Stegostoma tigrinum: one gene and its partners. The protein of the gene in region 2 interacts with the protein of the main gene of each other region in a pairwise test. Links are inferred from orthologs where the notes say so. Each region holds a gene or a part of one and is shown on either strand. Other genes may lie near its edges.

The links.
Region 1: the proteins of nudt18 (region 2) and EVI5-like protein interact in binary tests that used the Homo sapiens proteins (3 or more experiments, as listed by UniProt). The two-hybrid records come from large-scale screens. The link is inferred for Stegostoma tigrinum from reciprocal best matches to the Homo sapiens genes NUDT18 and EVI5L.
Region 3: the proteins of nudt18 (region 2) and paics interact in binary tests that used the Homo sapiens proteins (3 or more experiments, as listed by UniProt). The two-hybrid records come from large-scale screens. The link is inferred for Stegostoma tigrinum from reciprocal best matches to the Homo sapiens genes NUDT18 and PAICS.

Annotation. Positions count from the first base shown.
Region 1 is NC_081388.1:1,813,816-1,821,772, reverse strand, and holds the start of EVI5-like protein, read left to right. Parts: upstream 1-4,685; 5' UTR 4,686-4,754; intron 4,755-7,957. UniProt on the Homo sapiens protein: Functions as a GTPase-activating protein (GAP) with a broad specificity.
Region 2 is NC_081393.1:15,506,393-15,514,418, reverse strand, and holds the start of nudt18 (8-oxo-dGDP phosphatase NUDT18), read right to left. Parts: upstream 3,748-8,026; 5' UTR 3,629-3,747; intron 4-3,628; exon of another isoform or gene 1-3. UniProt on the Homo sapiens protein: Mediates the hydrolysis of oxidized nucleoside diphosphate derivatives. Hydrolyzes 8-oxo-7,8-dihydroguanine (8-oxo-Gua)-containing deoxyribo- and ribonucleoside diphosphates to the monophosphates. Hydrolyzes 8-oxo-dGDP and 8-oxo-GDP with the same efficiencies.
Region 3 is NC_081354.1:109,761,305-109,769,276, forward strand, and holds the start of paics (multifunctional protein ADE2), read left to right. Parts: upstream 1-4,700; 5' UTR 4,701-4,716; exon of another isoform or gene 4,717-4,854; intron 4,855-5,070; 5' UTR 5,071-5,185; exon of another isoform or gene 5,186-5,203; intron 5,204-5,459; 5' UTR 5,460-5,485; coding exon 5,486-5,501; intron 5,502-5,865; coding exon 5,866-6,063; intron 6,064-6,142; coding exon 6,143-6,321; intron 6,322-7,972. Other genes in the region: ppat (amidophosphoribosyltransferase), read right to left, coding at 4,558-4,685. UniProt on the Homo sapiens protein: Bifunctional phosphoribosylaminoimidazole carboxylase and phosphoribosylaminoimidazole succinocarboxamide synthetase catalyzing two reactions of the de novo purine biosynthetic pathway.

The DNA of each region.
Region 1 (7,957 bases), on a different chromosome or scaffold from region 2:
CTGACCTGTACAGGAAATCCAGGTACAATGTTTGCAAGGCCATCAGGATGCCAAGAGGCAATACCAAATTATACTTGACATCCAGACCAAACACACAGACACCTGTCATTTGTGGCAAGGCTTACTTGACATAATGGCCTGCAGGGTGAAGTCAAACAGAATTGTAGGCAACAGTACATTCTTACTCAATGAACTCATTGCATACTACACTCACTTTGAACAGGAGTTCAGTGAAACTATGTCACGTATCCCAAAAGCCTCGGATACCCTTGTACCCACCTTCACCTCTAGAGACGTTAGATCGGCCTTCTTGACAGTATTCCCATGGAAAGCGACTGGACCACACAGAGACCCCAGCCATGCACTTAGAATCTGTGTGGACTAGCTGGCAGAAGTATTTGCATGTATCAACCACTTTCTGTGGTGGAGAAGTTCACGCTCACCACTCTCTGGGTGAAGAAATTACTCCTTATCTCAGTCCTTAATGACCTACTCTGAATCCTTAGACTGTGACCCCTTGTTGTGAAAACCCAGTCATCAGGATCGTCTTTTCTACGTTTACCCTATTTATGAAATCTCCCGTCATTCTTCTAAACTCCTGTGAACATAGTCCTAAATATTTGAGTCTCTCTTCATTCATCAGTCTTTCCATTCCAGGATTCAGGCTGGTAAACCTTCATTGCAATCTGTCCATAGCCAGAATATCCTTCCTTAGGAAAGGAGACCAAAGCTACACACAATAATCTCACCAAAGTGCTGCACAATTACAACAAGACATCCTTACACTTATACTCAAGTCCTCATGCTATGAAACTAACTTACCATTTGCCATCTTCACCACTTGCTACACCTAACTGCTTATTTTCAGTGAGAGGTGTACGAGGTCTTGTTATAAATTCTCCTCTCAACACTATACGAGGTATTGTTATAAATTCTCCTCTCAACGCTATCAACATTATACTTCATCTGCCCACTCATATGATTTATCCAAATCATATTGAAGCATATGTGCATCCTCCTAACATTTCATCCTCCCACATAGCTTTACTTGGAGGTAAGATATTCAGTTTCCTCATCTAATCATTGATGAACATTGTGTATAGCTGGTGCCCTAGCACTAACACCTACAGCAGTCCAGTAATCACTGTTTGCCACTCAGAAAAGAGATCCATTCATTTCTACTCTTTATTGCCTGTCTTTCAACTTGTTCTCTACTCCTATCAGTACACTAACTCCCAACCCATGTGCTTTAATTTAATATGCTAGTCTCTTTTGTAGGACTCAGCAAATATCTTCTAAAAATCCAAGTAAGTACTGCCCTTCCCTTAGCAACTTGACACATTACATAGAATCATAGAGTATTACTATACAGAAGGAGGCTACTTGGTCCGTCATGACTGTACAGGTTCCTGGAAGAGCAACCTAGCTAGTCCCATTCTCCTGTCCTACATCTGTAGCCGTTTAAATTGATCTTCAAAAAAATTGCAAATGATTTGTCAAGCACGATTTCCTTTTCATAAATCCATACTGACTCTGTCCAATCCTGTTACAGTTGTCTAAGTGCTCTGCTGTTAAATCTTTTACAATCGACTCTAACATTTTCTCTACCACCAATATCAGGCTAACACTCCAGTCTATGGAATCTATGGAGTCTTGAAAGATGACCACCAAAGCATCCCCACTTTCTAGGGCCACTACCTTAAGTAATTCAGGATTATCAGGTCCTGATGATATGTTGGCATGTAATCCCATTAATTTCCTCAACTCCATTTCCCTCCTAATATTGATTTCCTTCAGATCTTCTCTCTCACTGGATCGTGTGTTTCTCAATGTTTTTGAAACTAGCGAGTTTTGAGAAGATTTGTAGCTCAGGTTTGCAACTTTATTTGAGTCCTCCCTTGGAAAAACACAACCAAAATGCATATTAAATTGGTCTGCCAATTCTTTATGGGCAAATCATAATTATACTATCTGTCACAAATCAATCTCCGTACTTCAGACAGAAAATCAAACTGGATGCATGAAAGAAGCAATTTGTGAGGTACTGAGTTACTTTAGAATTCTAGAAGGCCAAAAAAGAATAGTACCAAGCAGGTACTTTTTTATTCCCTAGGTCCAATAGCAGATCATGTTTTAAAATGATAAAGTGGAAGAGAAGAAAGTTACTTTTGATAACATTGCAGATTTACTAGAAAAATACAGCTTCCGGGAATACCTGTTGACTACTTTGTTAATGATCTTTGTGAATTTTATTGTTATTTACAATTAGTACTGATTGAGACAGAATTGTCGTCAGAGTTTCTGATTGGTTTCTTTCAGATATGTTACAATCGAAAAAGGAACTCACATTAGAAAGAACTATCCAAGTCATAGTTGCAGCTTAAATCTGAAAACAGCACAAGTGATGAACAGGAACAGAAAGTCAACCTCGTTTAAGGAGCTCATCAGACATTGTCAACTTTCTAAAGTACAAAAACACCAAAACATTACATGATCGTTCAGCACAAAAGTACTTAAATAATTTGATGCTAGATCTCACAGTTTGAGATGCAGAGTTAAATCATGACACAGATAAAACAATATCTGCTTTAATCATACCAATGCAACTCTTGTAAGAAAGTGGGCCAATTTCAGAGAATGTGCAAAGTTAAAAACATCAGATATCTAACAGTGCTTACTTGTACAAAGTGGTTAACACCTTACACAAGAGAACATCTTTGGAAGAAAACCCAGATGAACCAGACACACCTCTGTTAGAATGCATTCCCTTCTATGATGATATACCACTTTTGAATGATGCAACAAAACTATGCTTAAGAAATCTGAATCAGATATTATTTTAGATCATAGATGCTAATGATCTTCAACTGATATCAAACTTGGTACCAATGTGAGTGTTATTGTATTATCCCTACAGTGATTAAGCAGGCCATTTGGCCCATCAAGTCCACACTGACCCACCCTCTATCTTATTCCTGCATTTCCATCCTAGATGCAATGGGCAATTTAGCATGGCCAATGCAGCTAGGCTGCATATCTTTGGACTGTGGAAAGAAACTGGAGCACCTGCAGGAAACCCACAGAGGCACAGGGAGAATGTGAAGGCTCCACACCTGAGGCTGGAATCGAAACTAGGTCCCTGGTACTGTGAGGCAGCAGTACAAACCACTGAGTCACTATTACCACTCATTATTTGAAACATCTCCTTGGTCGATGAGAATGAACCTACAATTTTCCTCACAAAGAACAGCATAGCACAAGAACACCACTCAAAATCAAAGGAATTATGAGTGTTGTCAGAGAACAGCCTGATGAAGGGTTCCAACACGAAATGTCGATTTTCCTGCTCCTCTGATGCAGCCTGACCTGGTGTGTTCCTCCCATTCCACACTGTATTTACTCTGCAGTTATAGCTGTTTCCTAGTTGCTGAGAACAGTTGTCATATTCATTGACGGGATATGGGTGTGAATGCCTGGACCATTATTTATTGCCTATCCCTTTGTTTAATGTCTTTATTCAATCACAGGCTGAGGGCATTGCTGGCCAGCATTGATTGTGCATCCCTAATTGTCCAAAGGGAAGTTAGGAGTCAACCACATTGCTGTGGGTCTGGAGTCACATCTGGGCCAGAACAGGTAAGGACGGCAGTTTCCTTTCTTAAAGGACACCGGTGAACCAGATGGGTTTTCCTGACAATCGCAAATGAACTCATGGTCATCATTAGACTCTTTAGTTCCAGATATTTATTGAATTCTGCTGTGGCAGGATTTGAACCTGGGTCACCCAGAACATTACCTGAGTCTCTGGATTAATAGTCCAGCAATAATACCACTAGACCTATGCGTCCCCCTCATTTTTCTGGCCCTTTTTTCTGACAGTCTGGAATCACATGAGGAAAGGATGTTAGATTTCCATTCCCACAGTACATGAATGAACCAAATAGATTCTTATGACAATTGACAGTTGTGACACTCTCACCTTTCGGCTAGTTTTTCTTTTATTCCACATTTTGACTGAATTTAGCCTTCACCATCTGTCATTGTGGTATATGAAATCTTGTCACGATCCACGTTCCTTTCTCTCTATCGTCCTTCTTTTCCTCGCTCCCCATTTTTACTCACTGTCTCAATCCCGCGCTCTCCCACTAACCCCTCTCTTTCACACCTGCATTTCTCCACCATGTCTCTCTCTAACTCTGTGTAGGTTACATGGGCTTGAGATCAGTATGACAGGTCGGCACAACATCGAGGGCCGAAGGGCCTGTACTGTGCTGTAATGTTCTATGTTCTCCTTCTCCCCATAGCTACGTCTCTCCCTGTCTCTCTCTCTCTTCACCCACCTCCCCATCTCTCCTCCCTCCCGCTCTCCCGCTCTCTCTCTCCCCTTACTCATCTTTCTCCCTTTACTCTCTTGTCTCCAACATCAGCACCACAACAGCAGCCTCACAGAGGCCCACACAGGATTGGCTGGAGATGCATGTCAATCATAACGTTTACTGATTACTATTGGCGAAAACGCCGCATGGGCGGTGTCCGCTCCCATTGGCCGTCCTTTGTCCATTGTGGATTGGTCGTTATCTATGTCCATCAGATGGAGACACAGTTATGATTGGTTAGATAGGGGAAACGAGGCGGGGGAGGAGCTCTGATTGGTGCTCGGGCTGGACCCGTTGACGTCAAGGACGTGGTGCCCCGCCCCTGCTGTCAGGGCCCGAGCAGCAGAGGCGAAGGGAACTGGCTTGAGAACCTTCAAGGTAGGGGCGGGGGTCGATATTGGGACCGGTCGGTGACTGACACTATCTCCGGGTGTATAGGAGCCCGAACCATAGAGGCTGGGGACTGTTGTAAGGACTGGGTAAATAGGAACGGGGAAGCGGGGATTGACAGCTGGGACCGGGAGGGAGGGAGAGAGATACACCATCACCGTCAGAGGGACCGGGAGACGGTCGGGCAGGACCCGGCCATGGAGAGAACATCATGTGGGGTCGATGACCAGTCTCTCTCGGGCAGGGACGGCTCGTTGCCACAGCGACACTGTAGGGAGGGGCATAGTTTAAATCACTGCATGAGGGGAGGGAGAGGAGACAGCCTTGTCTTTCGCCCTCCGGCGACTCTAATGGCGGCAGGAGGATGGAGAAAGAGGGAGGTGTCCCTGAGGTAGGCCAGGGTGGGTACCAGGAAGTGTGAAAGGTGTTAGGGAGGGTTGGGAGGTTGTGACTGGAGGGGAAGTGGGAATTGTGAGTGGGGTGGAGGGAGGGCGGTCAGGAAGTGGGAGAGCGTGATTGGGTTAGGGGAAGACTCTGGACTGATAATTGGCTAACAATGGAGCTGGATAGAGCAGTGTGTTGATTGGAGAGAGTGCAGTGCGGGATAGATGATTGGGAGGAGACAAGGATAAAAAGGGGAAAGCCAGACTGGCTATGAAATTCATGGACTTTCCTTGTTTGTCTTGGAGCAAGGTTAATAACAATTAAGCCTTTAACATTTTTTAATGTAATTGAAATCAGATGGCATGTGATAACGGTATGAGTGACCAAGTCTTAGTCAAAAGAAATGTTTTAGGGAGTGTCATAACTGACAAAAGGGATCTTGAGAGGGAAGATGGGGTGAGAGGGCCTAAGCAGCTGAAACTGTAGGCATGAATGGTTGAACCATTGAAATTGAGATACTGAAGATTGGGGGGTTGGGGGAGTGCAGCACAGATATTTGTGTGGGACTAGAGGATGCTGCAGAGATGAGGGGAAAAACCATGGAGGAATTTGTAAGCAGAATGAGAATTTTTAAAATTGAGATTGCTTGACTGGGAGTCTGGTATAGGTTGGTGAACACAGGATGTATAGGGACCCACAATGATATCAAACTGCAGTTGGGAGCTTATTTGGTGGAATTTATTGACCCCAAATGTTTAGACTGAAACAGTTCCTTGACCAATTAAAGAAACAACTACTCACCCCAGTGCTGGATATTGGATAAAGCCAGAAGTCACATGACACCCTTTATAGTCCAACAGGTTTATATGAAATCACAAGCTTTTGAAGTGCTGCTTCAGCAGGCGAAGTGAGTAACAAAGGATGATGAACGAGCAGTGTTCCAAAAGCTTGTGACTTCAAATAAGCCTGTTGGACTAAACCTTGTGAACTGTATCTTCTGACCTAGTCCACTCAGTCCAACACTAGCATCTCCATATGATTGATATGGGATAAGTCTGACAGGTTAACAACAGTGGAAAATCTAGGAGAATAGCATGCATGTGAAAACTAATGGTATGTCTTCAGATGGTGTTGCCATGAGGCTCAGGTTGAACCCTTGTGGGACACCAGAGGCCATGTCACAGGAGAGATAAACAAGATAACAGTTAAGTACAACTTTGTCAGAAGTTCAGATTGATTCTGTCAGAAACTAGTATGTTTTGGCTGTGGATGTGCTCAAGAACACTCACCTGTTAACACCCATTTGGGCTAAGGAAGTTCTTTACCAAAATCTAAATCAGAACACGCTGTCTGTGTCCACATTTCCTATTTTGCTGATATTGACAGCTCGTTTACTATCTTAAGTGAGATTCTGGCAATCTCTTAAAAATATTGCTGTTTAGAATGCACATAAGCAACAAAAAAGGGCAATGCGATGAAAATTTTAGAATAATGAATGGTTTTGATTGTGACTCTAGGTTGGTAACCAAAGAACTTACAAAGATTGAATATTTTCACAAGAGGATTATATGTAATAGGTAAAATAAGTCTAGCCCGGGGGTGAAGATTGTGGTACAAATTAGATAGCTGTACCAAAATGTTAACACAGATAATGGCTGTCTCTGCAAAATTTTACCCCATTATTTCCATATTCCTTTATTTCATTCCTTCCAATTTCTGCCTTGAAATTGTTGAATGGTTGAACAATCAGGGATTCCAAAGGTCAACTTATCTGTTCTTACCACCAATTTTAATTGGTGTCAGCCATTGTTTAGAAAAGCACATTGTGTGCCCAGTGCAGCCAAATTGCATATTACTGCATTGTTTACATTTCAAACATTTCCTCAACTACAGTAACCTTGTCATTCCTGTTTGATTTCTGGTGAACACCATGTTGTGTGTCGAGTACATAATTGATACTAGTGGTCAGTATAGATATTTTCTAATCAAGCTGTTTGGAGATGTTATTGCATGCCTCTGGAGTACATGGGCCTTGAACCTGGGTTCTGGCTCAGAGGTAAGGATACTAAATGGCTGTTATAGATTAATGCTGTTTCCTTCTCATTCATTAGACTTATAAATTGATATACTTGGTGACACCTCCTAAATAGGGCACTTGTAGAACTCTTTTCATATTGGTGACGCTTTTGGCAACCCAAGATTACTGGATTGTTTAAAATAGGCACTGAGAAAGGTAACAGGGAGGCTACGGTTTTGGTGTCAATCTTCTCATGTGTTTCCATCAACTGTATCGAGCAAGTAATCTGGAGAACCCTGCAACGTCATTAGAATTTACCAATGTTTATTTCTTTGATATGACAGGTTAACCAGCAGCTGGCTTTTTACACATGCTGGGTGATTGGGTGTACTGTCCTTTCGACAGCATGTGCTCTCTCTGGTTTCATGCTGATTTTTATTTGCATGGTTAGTTTAGAGGATGTCAACCAATCTCCAAACTAGTGTCCCTTCAGTCAAGGGACAAGTGATGACAACCTCCTCTGAGTAATGTCAAAAAATGCCTGGTTTGCTCTTCTAATTCGAATACTGTGGCTGAAGAGAGCAGAATTAGATGAATTGGATCGGAAGTTGGCTTGCTGAAAGAAGACAGAGGGTGGTAGTTGATGGGAAATGTTCATCCTGGAGACCAGTTACCTGTGGTGTACCACAAGGGTCGGTGTTGGGTCCACTGTTGTTTGTCATTTTTATAAATGACCTGGATGAGGGCATAGAAGGATGGGTTAGTAAATTTGCAGACGACACTAAGGTCG
Region 2 (8,026 bases):
CCACTGCCAGAGAGAATAAAAGCAACAACATCATGGGACTAACAACAACTCCAGATGAGACATTCCATGCCCTTGTGAATATAAATTACTGCTCTGCCATTTCAGGACAAAAATATCAAAGAGATTGCAATGGTTTCATGACCATTCTCAGAACTTCTCAGGGGAGGGCAATACAAGGGACTTTGGTGCGTCCAGGGAATACTGTTGGGAAAAGCACAGTGTCCACGACAAAGTGGGATCTATCCCTAAAGAACCAGAACTTCACGCTCTAGCACATAAAGTCCAGTCTCCTGGAACCCCACACAGTCACTGACAAGGACAAGTATATGAGTGGACAAACAACACCATTCTGCCTGTCTAAATGAATGAGCAAAACCACTTGGCCAATTTGAACATTTCCTTCACATATTTTAGCGCATATAGAGGACGCTGGCTGGCCCATCAACCCTGTGCTGGATTTCTAGTGAATCTAGCCGTACAGCCTTACAAACATTTTCCCTTCATGTCATACAGTTTTACAGCATGGAAAGAGAACACTTGGTCCAACTCTACCATGCCGACCATAATCCAAACCAAGCCAGTCCCATTTGCCAGCGATTAGCTCATATCCCTCTGTACCTTTCCTATTCATGTACTTTTCCAAATGTCTTTGAAATGTTATAGCTGTGCCCACATCCACCAGTTCCTCAGAAAGTTCATTCCACACACGAGTGGCTGCACTTTGTCCTAAAGACCACACCCTACCTAAGGGGAAGGAGCTTTTCCCACTCCCTTTATTAAAAAAATTGCTCTTTGTGTCCCTTTTCAATATTTCTCCTCTCACCTTAAAATATGTCCTGTAGTTTTGAAATCCCCCACTCTCGGGAAAAGATACCTGCTATTCACTTTATCTGTATCGCTGGTCATTTTATAAACCTCAAAAAGGTCACCCCTCAACCGCCTCTACTCCAGTGAAAAAAAGTCCCAGTCTATCCAGCCTCTCCTTACAACTGAAACGCTCCATACCTGGCAACATCCTGGTAAATCTTTTCTGAATCCTCTCCAGCTTAATAGTATCCTTCCTATAACAGAATACATACCAGAACTGGACACAGTACTCCAGATGATGCCTCACCAATGTTCTGTACAACCTCAACATGACGTCCCAACTCTAATACTCAAAGGTCTGAGCAACGGAGGCAAGCGTGATAAACGCCTCTTAACCACCCTGTCTAATGTGATACAAACTTCAAATAATTATGCACCTGAACTCCTACGTCTCTCTGTTCTATAGCACTACCCCTAAGGCCCTACTTTTAATTGTATAAGTCCTCCTCCAATTCTCTTTTGATTGCTACTACTGAATCTGCTTCCACACGGCCCCCCTCAAGGTCTCGCAAGCTGCTGCACATCAGTACCTTTGCTTGTGCTTAGTTACTGCCACTGAAGATATATCTCTCATCCAAAATAATACTTCATGATTATCAACATCACGAATGAAGTCAACAGTCTCTCCACATAACTGAACTCCCAACCAGCAGATATATGGGAGCACCACCATCTTCAATTTCCCCTCCAAGCCACTCACCATCCTGAACTTAGAAATATATCGCCGTTCCTCCACTGGGTCAAAATCCTGGAATTTCCTCCCTAAACGGCATCGTGGGTCAACCCACTGCAGACGGACTGCAGCAGTTCAAGAAGGCAGTTCACCACCACCTTCTCAATGGCCACTCGGGATGGGCGATAAACACTGGCCAGCCTGATTTGTCCACAGAAGCCAGATACCATACTTGTCAGTCTCTTCTGATGCCTGTGCAAGTCCTCCATATCTTTCCAAACGCATGGGTACACACTGCCTCTAAACATAGCAACATTGTTTTTGAACTTCTTCTGTTGATAAATTGCAGGGTTGTTAAAGCTGTTATGAAGAAAATATTCATCCTGAATGTTTAATCACCTCTGCCCTGTGTCTTTAGAAAGTCCATATATACTTGCAGCACCCTCAATCTCCCCACCAGTTGACCAAAGAACACTCAAGTTTATCACATACTTTTGCCTTTTAACAAATCAACACTAACTGTAATTTATTTTCCATTTGTTCCCACAAGATGCTGTCTGGATGTACCCTCTTGCCCGAAGCAGAATTCTTGTAGATTCAAGTCCCACTCAATAAGGACTTAAACTCAAAAATCCATGCAACATGGACTCCAGTTCAGTACTGAGGGACACACTGTCACTCCTAAGAGATGTTAATACAGAGGAGCCCTGACTGAGTCTTACATCGATTTTGACGCAGGGCCAGGAAACCGTTCCTGTTGCGTCAAGATAAACAAGACATCACAGAAGTGCGACAGTGCAGAAGAAATAACAAATTCATGAGAATGAGTTACACATAGGCATCTACTGGAGGGATGGATGGGCTAATGGGCTGAGATAACAAGGTGTAGAGGTAGATGAGCACAGCAGGCCAAGCTGCATCAGAGGAGCAGGAAGGCTGACGTTTCGGGCCTAGACCCTTCCTCGGGCCGAGAAGTGGCTGATGGAGATAAATGTAGGTGTTGCTTTTGGGTAAGGCAAATCAGGGCAGGACTGAAATGCTTGGGGAGTGTTGTCGAACAAAGAGGAGCAGGTTCAGAGTTCATTGAAAGTAGACTGGCAAGCAGACAGGGTGGTGAAGAAAGCATTTGGCACTTGACTTTATTGGTCAGTGCATTACGTACAAAATTTGGGAGGTCACGTTGTGGCCGTACAGGACATTGATGAGGCCACTTTTAGAATACCGCATTCAATTCTCGTCGTTTTTCAAAGGCAGGGGATTCCGAAACCAAACGGCAAAGATTTAAGGTGAGAGGGGAGAAGATTGAAAAGGGACCTGAGGGGCAACTTTTTCATACAGAAGTTGGTGCGTGTATGGAATGAGCTGCCAGAGGAAGCAGTGGAGGCTGGTACAATTACAGTATGTTAAAAGCATCTGGATGGGTATATGGCGAGGAAGGGTCTAGAGGGATATGGACCAAATAATGGCAAACAGGACGAGGTCAGACTGGGATGGGTCTGGTCGGTGCGGACCAAAGGGTCTGTTTCTGTTCTGTACATCTCTAATGGCTCACTTTCTCTTTCCATTCTCCATGTGTTCAGGGTCAACCACATGGCTGTGGTTCTGGGTGTATGTAGAGGTGGGACTAGGCCTGCCCTCTGGAAGAGACTTGGAGCAAAGGGACGCCACCACAGAGTGATAGGGGGAGGGGTGTAGTCACACATTCGAGACGGCCGTGAGGAGGAATTTCCTCTCTCAGAGGGAGGTTGTTTGCCGCAGAGGGCTGACGCAGAGAGAGATGTGCTTTAAATCAGGAAGGAAATCCAGGGAAAAGGTAGCGAATTGGAATTTGAGGCTGATCAGGTCCGGGACTCGATGGGCTGAATGGCCTCCTGCTGTTCTGATGGTGATGTGTGTGCGAGTGCAATGACACGGCCAGCACCACATCCCCCTCCTGCGGCCTGCTGGTCCAGCTCTCACCGGCTGCCAGCATCCACCTCCACCCCCCCCCTTCTTCACTCTGACCCGACTGTCGGTCCATGGCGACCGCGCGGCGCTTCGCGCTCTCCCCGCCCCAATCCCGTTCTCGTTCTCCTCCCATCAACTGACCATTCCGTCCAGCGCCGGGCCTCCACCAGACCGACTAGGCCCCGTCGCCAAGGCGACACCGCACGCTCCCGGCCCTGCTTCCTTCCTCCTTGCAAACTGCTCTTCACCCGGGCTGCGGCATGACGCCACTGCGTCCGTGCCCCCTGCCCGACGCGGCATCTCTTTCCTGATTGGTCTGGGTAGCTGCCCGTCATTACCCGGAGATGGGGCTAGGGGCGGGGCTGAAACGCTCACCTGAAGATTGGAAGCTGAATTTCCTTGATCACTGAAGTGTTCCCGACTGGGAGGGAGCATTCCTGTCTGGCGATTGTTTTGCAGTGTCCATTCATCCGTTGTTGTAGCATCTGCATAGTCTTGCCTCGGAGCATCCTTGCCTGGAGCATATGACGTACACAACACTGGCTGAGTAACATGAATAGCTGCTGTGTATACGATGGGTGGTGTTCCCATGTGTGATAGTAGTATCCATATCAATGATCTGACGTGCCTTGCAGAGGTTGCCTTGGCAAGGTATTGTGGCGTTGTGATTGATGTTCTCCTGAAGGCTGGATAGTTTGCTGTGAATGATGGTTTGTTTAAGGTTTGGCGGTTGTTTGAGGGTGACAAGTGGAGATATAGGGAGCATCTTGGCAAGATACTCATTGTCATTGATGACATATTGAAGGCTGTGAAGTACATGGCGTAGTCTCTCCGCTCCAGGGAAGTACTGGACAATGAAGGGTGCTTTCTGAGTCTCTCCGCTCCAGGGAAGTACTGGACAATGAAGGGTGCTTTCTGAGTCTCTCCGCTCCAGGGAAGTACTGGACAATGAAGGGTGCTTTCTGAGTCTCTCCGCTCCAGGGAAGTACTGGACAATGAAGGGTGCTTTCTGAGTCTCTCCGCTCCAGGGAAGTACTGGACAATGAAGGGTGCTTTCTGAGTCTCTCCGCTCCAGGGAAGTACTGGACAATGAAGGGTGCTTTCTGAGTCTCTCCGCTCCAGGGAAGTACTGGACAATGAAGGGTGCTTTCTGAGTCTCTCCGCTCCAGGGAAGTACTGGACAATGAAGGGTGCTTTCTGAGTCTCTCCGCTCCAGGGAAGTACTGGACAATGAAGGGTGCTTTCTGAGTCTCTCCGCTCCAGGGAAGTACTGGACAATGAAGGGTGCTTTCTGAGTCTCTCCGCTCCAGGGAAGTACTGGACAATGAAGGGTGCTTTCTGAGTCTCTCCGCTCCAGGGAAGTACTGGACAATGAAGGGTGCTTTCTGAGTCTCTCCGCTCCAGGGAAGTACTGGACAATGAAGGGTGCTTTCTGAGTCTCTCCGCTCCAGGGAAGTACTGGACAATGAAGGGTGCTTTCTGAGTCTCTCCGCTCCAGGGAAGTACTGGACAATGAAGGGTGCTTTCTGAGTCTCTCCGCTCCAGGGAAGTACTGGACAATGAAGGGTGCTTTCTGAGTCTCTCCGCTCCAGGGAAGTACTGGACAATGAAGGGTGCTTTCTGAGTCTCTCCGCTCCAGGGAAGTACTGGACAATGAAGGGTGCTTTCTGAGTCTCTCCGCTCCAGGGAAGTACTGGACAATGAAGGGTGCTTTCTGAGTCTCTCCGCTCCAGGGAAGTACTGGACAATGAAGGGTGCTTTCTGAGTCGTATCCTGTGTTTGTGTTGTGAGGAGGTCATTGTGGTGTTTCACTGTGGCACGTTGGAACTGATGGTCGATGAGTTGAGCATCGTGTATCATTCTTATGAGGGCACCTTTCAAAACCTTTAGATGTCTGATTCATTCCTCCTCATCTGAGCAGATCCTGTGTATGCACGGGGTATGTCCGTAGGGGATAGCTTCTTTAATATGTTTAGGGTGGAACCTAGAGAAGTGCAGAATCACAAGGTTATCCATGGGCTTGCAGTTGAATAAGATAGAGGTATCTGTCCTTGATGGAGATGTGTGTGTCCACGAATGAGACTGATTCTGAAGAGTAATCCATTGTAAGTGTGATGGTGGGATGAAACTTGTCGATATCACAATGTAGTTGTTTCATGATTCCTCACCAAGAAAAGAAGTAATCAATTATCTGGTGTGTAACGTTGGTCGGAGATCCTGTGCGGCAAAGAAGTCTTGCTCAAAACTTGTGCGTGAAAATGTTGACACGTTGGCACGTACAGTCCCCATGTTCCATGTGTCTGGATGAAGAACAGGGTGTTGAAGGTGAAGACGTTGTGGTCAGGGATGAAACAGATGAGTTGTAGGATGGTGTCTGTTGGTATCGAGTACTGAGGCTGTTGCAGTGATGCCTTTGTCGTGGGGGATGCTGCTGTAGAGCACCAAAACATCCATTGCGACAAGGAATGTTCCTGGTTTGACTGGTGCGTAGATGCTGAGTTTCTGTAAGAAATCTGTCGTGTCGTGGCGGAAGCTGGGGGTTCCTTGTACAGTGAGATTCAAGATGCCGTCGACATAGCCAGAGAGGTTCTCATACAGGGTCCCATTGCCTGATACGATGGGACGTCCAGGTGTATTGGCTTTTGTATCTTTGGAAGGCAGCAGAACTCTCCAACATGAGAAATGCGCAGGATGATAGTGCATAGGATAATCAGACGATCTGGATCAAAGGTCTTGATCAGTCTGTTCAGTTGAAGGTTGTGTTCCGGTTTGTTGGTTGTCTGTTTGGGCTCACTGCTGACATCTCGGGGTTTGAGGAAGAATTCCCAGAGCCTCAGCCCCCTGATGAATTCCTCCGTGTCTGCCACAAGACCAGGGGGGTCCGTTTTGGTAGCGGGGCAGAAATTGAGCCCTCAGCTGAGAACTTTGATTCCGTCTGGTTGAAGGGTGTGCTCCGACAAGTCGACAATAGATTTCCGTGTGGTCAACGGGGTCTGGTGTTGAGGGTCCAGGTGTGAGGGGAATTGATGGGGTGTGGGTGGGGGCTCCGGTGTTTATGGGTGGCTCAACTGTGCAAGGGCACTGCCACTCCTGCTGCTATGCTCCCTACCCCCGCTTCCCCCCCCCTCAAATTCTGGGGCAATGGAAGGGAGCAGCAAGATCCCAGAGAAATGGTTCTGTTGCAGCCGCTTTCCTTCTTGCACTCTGGCTACGCACAGCCCACCAATTCTAAAAAAATCAATCGAACAGACCAAAGGAACTGCAGACGTTGGAAATCTGAAACAAAAACAGAAGTTGGCTGCAAAAACTTAGCAGGTCTGGCAGCCCCGGTGGAAAGAAATCAGAGTTAACTCTTCTTCAGAACTCATGGGAACTAGGAAAAGGATGTTTTTTTTAAATCCAGAAAAGTGCGTAGGTGGGCGAGGAAATGATAGCCCGAGATAGAAAAACAGTTGGGCAGGCAAAGGAGTGGATAAAAGTCAACTTGGGAGAATGAATAGTTACTAATGGGGACTGTTAGAAGCTAACGATTGGTAGTTTGATTGAGCAGACCATGTGATAACAAGGCCTGGTGTGTGGGGTTTGGGGTAAGGACACGGGAGAAGGGGCCTCAAGCCCAAAAATTGTTGAACTCGATATTGAGTGCAGAAAGCTAGAGTTCCCAAGTGGAAAATGATGTGTGCTCTTCCAGCTTGTGCTGACCTTCTCTGGAGCACTGCAGGAAGCCTGAGGCACAGATTTTGGCCAGGGAACAAGGTGATGTGTCGAAGTCAATGGGTGTGGAGCTTGAAAAGCACAGCAGGTCAGACAGCATGCGAAGAGCTCCCCACCGCAACCGCCTTGAGAAGGTGGGGTGGGGGATGGTGAGCTGTGTGACGTGGAGACATCCAGACAGTGCTGAGAGAGAGGAAGTGGGGCTCAGGACCCTGTGTTCGACATTGCGGGGAGGGTGGAGGGTGGGATGGAGGGCTGAGGGGAAACAGAGGTGAGATTCCCTCGGCGGAGTTTTGGCAAGTTCACTCGGAGGCGAGTCCTCAAGGACTTGCGGGTTGTGGCGGGGGAGGTGAAGGGTTGTGAGGATTGGAACCTTTCTCTTCCCGGATGTGGCCTCACTGAGCCTGAGGCCTGTCCTGATCACCGCCTATTGCATTAACAACGCTGATATCACTAGGAAACCTGATCGCCCCTTCTGTGTGTAAAGTGTGGAGCAACAGAGCAAAATCCAAACCACCACTGCATACTGAAAAACCATAGCCTTAAACCACCTACTGCTTCCTGACACTGAGCCATGAGTCTCTACTGCCCAGTTGCCCTTATCTCCTTGCCTTTCATCTGAAAACATCTGCTTTGAAGAACTTTGTCAAATGCATTCTGAAAGTCCATAAGAAAGCCCTTACAAATGGACATTATTTTTAGCCAACTATTTCCAACTAGATGGAGTTTAATCTGGATAAACATGAGGTATTGCATCTGGGGAAAATACACAAGAGCAGGACTTGGGCAGTGTTGTAGAACAGAGAGAGGTAGGAGCTCAGATGC
Region 3 (7,972 bases), on a different chromosome or scaffold from region 2:
CTAGGCGGATCTTGCAGCGAGGTATTAAGGGTAGATTTCAGGATCAGGAAGGGTGCAATGATAATGGTGGGATTGTACAAGAGACACCCAGCTGCCAGCGGGAAGTATAGGAAGAGATATGTGGACAGGTTGTTGTGTAGGTGATTTGGTATTTCTTTGGGTATTTCACTTCCAACTTTTTTTATTATATTAATCTTATAACAAAGTTTCTATAAGGTCACTTTATTTTCCACACTGGAGATTAATTTGGCCAGGCTATCTCCACTTGTCTTTCTCAAAAGAAACTGGCCCAGATCTCCCAGAGAAACATTATCCCAGAAACCAACTAAGCTTCTGAAACAGAGAACTTTCAAATAAACACAATATTATTATTTCTGATGTATCAAAAGATAACCAACCTCAGCTTGAGGTTTAAACCTTATAGCTCAAAGCCAACCAATGGACTCTAAATGACATATTCTTCCATCTTTCTTTGTACTTGACAGCATCCCATTTGGCTTTCTACGGTGGGAGTGTCCAATTGACTGCACACAGGCCAAGTACTTAAGGCCTTGCCATTGCTGTTCTTCTCCGGTTTTGGAAGTAATACATTTTCTTCCTTTAACTCAAGAAAATCTTCTGATTTTCTCCTTACTGCATAAAGTAAAAAGTAATTAAATGCAACTTTATTGGAGAAAGTTTTAACCTGGCAGTAAAGAGAACCAATATCTCTGTTGTGGTTATGAGAAGGGTGAACAGATGTGAGCCAGCTCCCCCCTCCACTTCTCATCCAGCTGTAAGTTCAATACCCCATAGGAATGATAACACAAGATAATACTTCATACTGTACCCTCAATGCAGTGATGAAATATCAGCCTTGATTGTCTGTTCAAACCTGTTCTACAGAGTGGTGCTTCAGCTCACAGCCACTGCCTCAAAGGAGAGTGTTCCACTAAGCTAATTCTCAAATTGGTTCCAAATGATGCTCCAGCAGTCATGGAAAAAAATCTGTAATCATTTTCTAAAATTGAAGGATAGTTCCTGCCAAAAGCATGAGGAAGAAAATATTTGAATAACTTAATTTGCTGGACTTACTTGTTTCTAACGACAGTGCTGAAAAAAAATTACAGCTTTATGGCTTTTTGATGTTTTACTCACACCTTGTCGCTTTTAATTTTTTTTAATTTAGTGGATACTTGATTATAAAAAGTTTAACAGTTAAATTGGTATTGCACCTCAAAAGCACACCCCTTTGGGAATACTGCTCCTCTAAATGGTGTGATGTTATAAATTCACACTAGACACAACATCTAGTTTACAGATGTACAGTATAAATTAGATTTTAAAAAATCTTGGAGATTCTGATTTTATACACCAATTCCACATCCTGAGTTATGAATTTATAGAAAAAAGTTCCAACAAGCTGTTTTCAGAATGCACATATTGGAGTTTTTAAAAACTGGCATTATTAAATAAATGTGATAATGCGAACTGCAGATGCTGGAGAATCCAAGATAACAAAGTGTGAAGCTGGATGAACACAGCAAGCCAAGCAGCATCTCAGGAGCACAAAAGCTGACGTTTCGGACCTCGACCCGTCATCAGAGAGATCCTCTCTCTGATGACGGGTCGAGGCCCGAAACGTCAGTTTTTGTGCTCCTGAGATGCTGCTTGGCCTGCTGTGTTCATCCAGCTTCACACTTTATTATCATTATTAAGTAAATCATTGCTCTTAAAGCTGCATTCAATTAACATATGTTTGTATGATTTTTAAAAATCTAAATCAGTTTTCCTACGTCGACAACACATCCTTCCAAAGTAACCCAGTCAACATGTAGGCATATAAGGGGCAAACCTAATTCCCTCAAAGAGTGGCAGAAAATTAAAATTATTAAACTGTAACACATAACCCCAACCTACTAGCCCACATCAAATTGAATGTAGGAACATTTGGTTACCTGCAAGTAACCTGATCACCGCAAGTAAGTCAAATCATTATTAAATGGTAATGTGAAATGAATTGTAATTCATCAGGATTTCTGAACTTAAAATATCTCCATCATAGGATTACCAGGCAAAATTAAACTCATTAGTGAAACATATGAGTTGAAAGCAAGTGAAGTTCCAATTGCCCAATATAACTGAAGACTCTGTGTTTGAAGCTGCTTTTTCAGTTCTCTGAACCAAAATGTTTTATAAATGTTCTTGAGATTATAGCTGTTTTTCAGAAGTTTTTAAAGCTTTCAAATGGATTTCAGGAAAGAGAATGGCACCATGGATGTTTCAAAATTATAATTAGCTAAACATAAAGAATCCATCTGAGGAAGGGTCACTCGACCCAAAACATTAACTGATTTCTCTCCACAGATGCTGCCAAACCTGCTGAGGTTTTCCGGCGGTTTTTATTTTTGTCTCCGATTTATAGCATCTGCAGATCTTTTGATTTTTATAAAAAAATCCTTTCCAGGTGTTGATTCCCCAAGGATCCCATATAATACTCCAACCATTTTATCCAGGTTGATAATGGCCACGTAATATATGTAACTGGACTAGCAATCCAGAGTCACTAGACTCAGGTTCTGAGACTATGCATTTGAATTCCACCGTGGCAGGTGCCAAAATTCAAATTTGATTACAAAAATCAAAAATTAGTCTAATTGCAATTATGTAACAATCATTGTTTGTCATAAATACCCATCTGACTCATTAGCATCCTTTAGAGATGGGAATCTGCCATCATCACCCATTCTAGCTTACACGAGACTCCATAGCCATAACTTTTAAGTGTTCGGTGAAATTGGCTAGCAAGCCAAACAGTTCAAGGGCAGTTAGGGTTGGGCAAAAAGTGCTGGCAGAGCCAGTGATGCACAGATCCCATAAATCAATAAATAAAAAGTCTCTTTCCCAAATTTTTAAGTTAACAAAGTCCTTACTGCTGATGATACTGCTTTTCTATTGCATATAATGTGTAAAGTGTTTACTAGAGGAACCTTGCAAAGGAGCCTTTTAATAAGTATCCCATATATTGTAAACTAAGCATCAGATGGGAGTCAGTGTTGTTTTATTCTATCAATAAATTTTAAAACAGTGTACCTTCTGTAGCATATATTACATGTGATGCACTCTGGAACACAGGCCAAGCATAATTGCTAGCCAACATTTGTCACAACTGCATTGACATTGATAGCCTTCCAAATGCCCAGTGATTTTACAGTGAGCTTAGAAAAAAGTAAAATAAAAATCAACATCGGATTTAAATAAGTTATTTTAATTAGTGGTATGCTACATTTGAGTTTTCAAAGACAGCTAGAAAATGAATTTCTTGCATTAGGCAATTAAAAGTAATTTGTGCGAGGACCATTTTTTGAATTGTTCATGCAGTTTGGATATTTAAGATTCTGCACAATGCCAACTTGATCAAATCTGTGCCTGTTAAGACACATATTCTAGTCAGCTTATTTTCAGAACAGAATTACATAGAAAGGCAGCAGAAACCTGGGAGTGGTCAGGAGTATGGAATTTACTAAAGTAATTGATGAAAACAGTAAGGATCAATTTAACTTAAATATAAGTTTGTGATATATTGAAAGGGTTAGAACTAGTTGTGGGGACATAGGAGGGAGTTTGTAAGCAACATTAAGACTAGAATGCAGTAACCAGTTGGGCTGAATGAACTTAGGAGCTATACATTCTGTAGTTCTGGAATGGTTAGGGGATTTCAGCAGAAGATATGGTCAGAAATGATCAGATGTCTCAACAGATGGTGCCAGACCTGCTGATAGTTTCCAGCAACTTGTTTTTGTTTTTTTTTCACTTTTTATTTGGTAAGAACATTATTCTGGAGAATTACAAAAATTAGTTAAAAATACACATCTCATCCAAATACAGAACTCTAATAACTTGTCATCGACATTTCATTCACTTCTTTTTCATACAACTTCACACAATACAGATAAGTAACTCCTGAATATGTTTTTTTAGGACTCAAAACTGAATAAAACGAACGTACTGACAAATATGTAAAGATTGATGAAATTTGTCACTTCAGTTTGAGTACTTTGGCTAAACATTTCCATTCGAGAGTAATTATACTAATTTGTTGGGAGAGCTTTATTTTCCCCTGGAGAATAAACAATTTTTAAAAAAATTCAACATAAATAGTATCATAAAGTAAGGTTTTGGATGGCAGACACAGAACTCCACAGAAGCTGTGATAGTGTTAGGGTTTTAAGGGAAACTACTAAAAGGTTTCCAGTATCATTTTTAAATCTCTACCTCCTTACAGCATTTCTGCATTGTTAAACAATGTGCTTAGAAAATATTAAGTCAATACAGCACTTTTCTCTGCCCAGTTTAGTGCCTTCCGCGCCCATAAGAACATAGAACAATGCCCACGATAGCCCACGATGTTGTGCCGACCTATTACCCTAGACTAAGATGAAACTACTCTACGTTCTACTATAAGTAATAGCAGAACCAACAACTGCAGCAGAACTTCAGTTATCATAATGTTTCTGTATTTGTGTATGAAATCTGTTCTGCCTCGGCTGTAGCACGAAATCCTGCTATCTGTGTTACCTGTGCTGCAGTGCCACCAATCCGAGGGCGATAACGTGGGGCACGTCCAAGTGAGTCGGCCACTCGCCAGCAGCGACACAGCCAAACACGCCACACTCCTCCCGGATCCCCGATTCTTCAAACTCCATGCCAGTTCCACACTAACTACCCCAACGAAAAGTGAGTGAACAAAACCCCAGCCCACCCACTACCAGGCTAACTATTTCAAAGTAATACACTCACTCCCCGCTCCTCATTATCTAGCTCGTATTCTTTTTCTCCCTAGCTCCCAGGAGTCAACACGTGCCTCACTAAACCCGCCACCACCCCCACATGTCACGGACCTCTCCAAAACGTTGAGGGTGTGCAAATTAATTAGATAAATGCATGTAAATAATTTTTCGTTGTTTTTAGAACTTATCATATGTGAACGTTAGAAACTGATGATCAATTTGTAATATGTATAATACATACATATATATTTATATATATACGCCGTCCCTTCTTTATGCAAACGTGTTCCTTTCATTGCAGACTCTTCACCACCCCCCTTATCCCTCTCGTCTTGGTACATCTCATTCAAATTTCGGAACGTTCTAAAACCGAACGCGCGGCTGTTAGAAGCACGAGATCGTGAGAGGGGCCTACGGTAGGAGATTCTGGCCTGGTGTGTGGGTACATAGCTATGAGGTCCTCGGGGTAGCGAAATATGGAGACAGTAGCGGACGTGTGCGGGGTAGAGGAGGAAGTGGGGTATCTGTGGAGGGTGGGCAAACTCTCGCTGGGGAAAGGCATCATTGAGGTGTACCCCGGGGTTGGTGGAGAGGGAGGCTTGGCGTGCATTCCGTGGAAAGCACATTGCGGCCTGTTGTGTGTTATGTTTTTCTTCTTTAAAGAATTTAAATACTTTTTTTGTTTTAAAGTTGTAGATTTGCAAAGTTTTCCCAAGATGGAGAAGTTTGGAGGTAAGTAAAATTTCCAAGCTCCCTCTTGGATTAACCGCGACCGCTTTTACTTGACGGCTCTACCACAGTATTTACGGTGCTAAAATCTCGCAAAGAGACAGTTTCGAAACTGTACCGCATGAAAGAAAACGACCAGTACACCCTCGGTTGGAATTGTATTGTTGCTATTCATCTGTCAGTGCTTCCGAGATGAATTTCTTTTGTTGAACCTCAGTAACATGTTATGACATTCAGCCTTGTGATTTTTTTTCTTTTAAAAAATTGCTTTTTTTTCTGGTTTTAAACCAGTCAACAATTTAAAAATGTTCAGTGGCTTTAAAAGTGAATGATTTCACGTTTTAAATAATCCTTTTATTTTCCGAAGAGCTGAAAATTGGAAAAAAACTAAATGAAGGAAAAACCAAGGAAGTATACGAACTGTTGGATTGTCCCGGGCAAGTTCTGATTCAGTCCAAGGACCAGATTACGGCTGGAAATGCAGTCAGGAAAGACCAGATGGTGGGCAAGGCTGCGATATCTACTAAAACCACTGTTTCTATCTTCAAACTGCTGCAGGATGCTGGTAAGACTTCTGCTACTGACATCGGGCAGGATATGTGCATCTTCTGTAATATTTGTGTTCATGCTTTTTTCTTTTTAAGGCATCAAAACTGCGTTTGAGAAACAATATGGGGAAACAGCATTTGTGGCAGCAAACTGTGAAATGATTCCTATTGAGTGGGTTTGTAGAAGAATTGCCACAGGCTCTTTTCTGAAAAGAAATCCTGGTGTAAAGGAAGGATACAAGTTCTGTCCTCCAAAGATGGAGATGTTCTTTAAGGTAGTGTAACATGTTTGCTGCTATTAGTTTTGATGTGGTTGAGGTGTTAATAACCATTTTCTAGTTGTGTAAACAAAACTTTGCTTTTCCATCCATCTTTAATATCCCTTTGAAATCACTAATCATTTCAGCTTCTGTACTTTTTCAGCTGGGGTCTTGTGTCAAAACTCTGTCTGCCATATTACATACAGTGGGTCAAGAACCACCGCTTTGGGCTTCATCCTGTCCACTAACATGACAAACTCTTCAGGTGGTTGCACAATGATGCAGAGTTGGGGGGGGGGGGGGGGAGCGGTGCGGTGAAGAAGAGAAAGAGAGTTGCCTTTTTGGAATCTGAATATTGGCAGTGAACTTGAAGTCTCATGGCATCTGGACAAACACTGATTTGGAAAATGTTAGGATGACCAGCATTGTGGAGCCCCTGGCTCAGTCTGTGTTCCTCAATTTTGAACACTTTGAAAGAACTAATGAGGGTGGTAAGGGCAGAAAATGTATTTTGGTTGGGAGCTGTCATATTCAAGGGCAAGATTGGCAAGTCTGCAGCTTAATGAACCAATGAAGGGGAAGAAAACTATTTTTAACTTCCTCATTAAATGTTAATTTTGTCATGTATCAATCCATAATGGTATTTTTGAGTGACATCAAAATGTCATCTGAGACAAAGTCCTGTCATCGTGTTTGAGGATACTGTCCAACATGTTGTATGATACCAACACTGTGTGCTAAAAGGAACAAAAACAGAAGGTGCTGGAAAAGCTGAGAGTCAGGCAGCATCTGAAGAAAACAGCAAAGTTAATGTTTCAGAGCTGGTGACCTTTCCTTTTAGAACCCTAAAAGGGAACTTGGAACACTTGGGCAACTTCATACTGAGCACACGTGAGCCCATCAGGAGAATTGTGGTGGAATACAGTCTGTAACCTCATGACCACAATGTACCTGTATCCTACCATTTTCATTCAACCTGGCTCAGTGGTGTGTGCGTGCGTGTCCTTATGAAAGAAAAAGATTTTTAATCTGGAGCTGCAACACAAGGCTAGTTGCATATGAAGCAGACTGGAGTAAACAGCTTTTTCTTTGCAACAAACTGATCAAGTGTCAGCTAGCATTCCTGCCAATTCCCCCCTCAAATGATTCTGAGCAGTTAAATGACTAACAAGCTCCCTAAATGTCCCCATTCTCAATGATGGGGAAGCCTCAGCTGCCTTCTAATGGCTGAAGATTAGCATCTTTTGATATGGGAGACATATCTAGCACAAAGGAGGATGGTTGGGGTTGTGTGAGTTTAAAGACTTCACTGCAGAAGTTGTTTCCTCTGGTGTCCCAGCCCTAACCATCTTTGGTTACTCCCAGCAGTGACCTTCCCTCCATCACAAAATCAAATGTGCAAACTTTCCAAAATGTTTAATGCCATTCAGGACTCTTCTGATACTGAACAGTCCATGTACACTTGCATCACAAATTGGATAACCTCCAGCCTTGAGCTGATAAGTGGCAAGTAACATTTGCACCATGCACAGCTATCAACCAGAGAATCTGATGTTGTTGATCCTTGATGTTCATACCATTGCTGAATTTCTTTCCCCACTTAATACCACCGCCACTGTCTCCTCCCCAGCTTCTCCCACCGCCACTGTCTCCTCCCCAGCTTCTT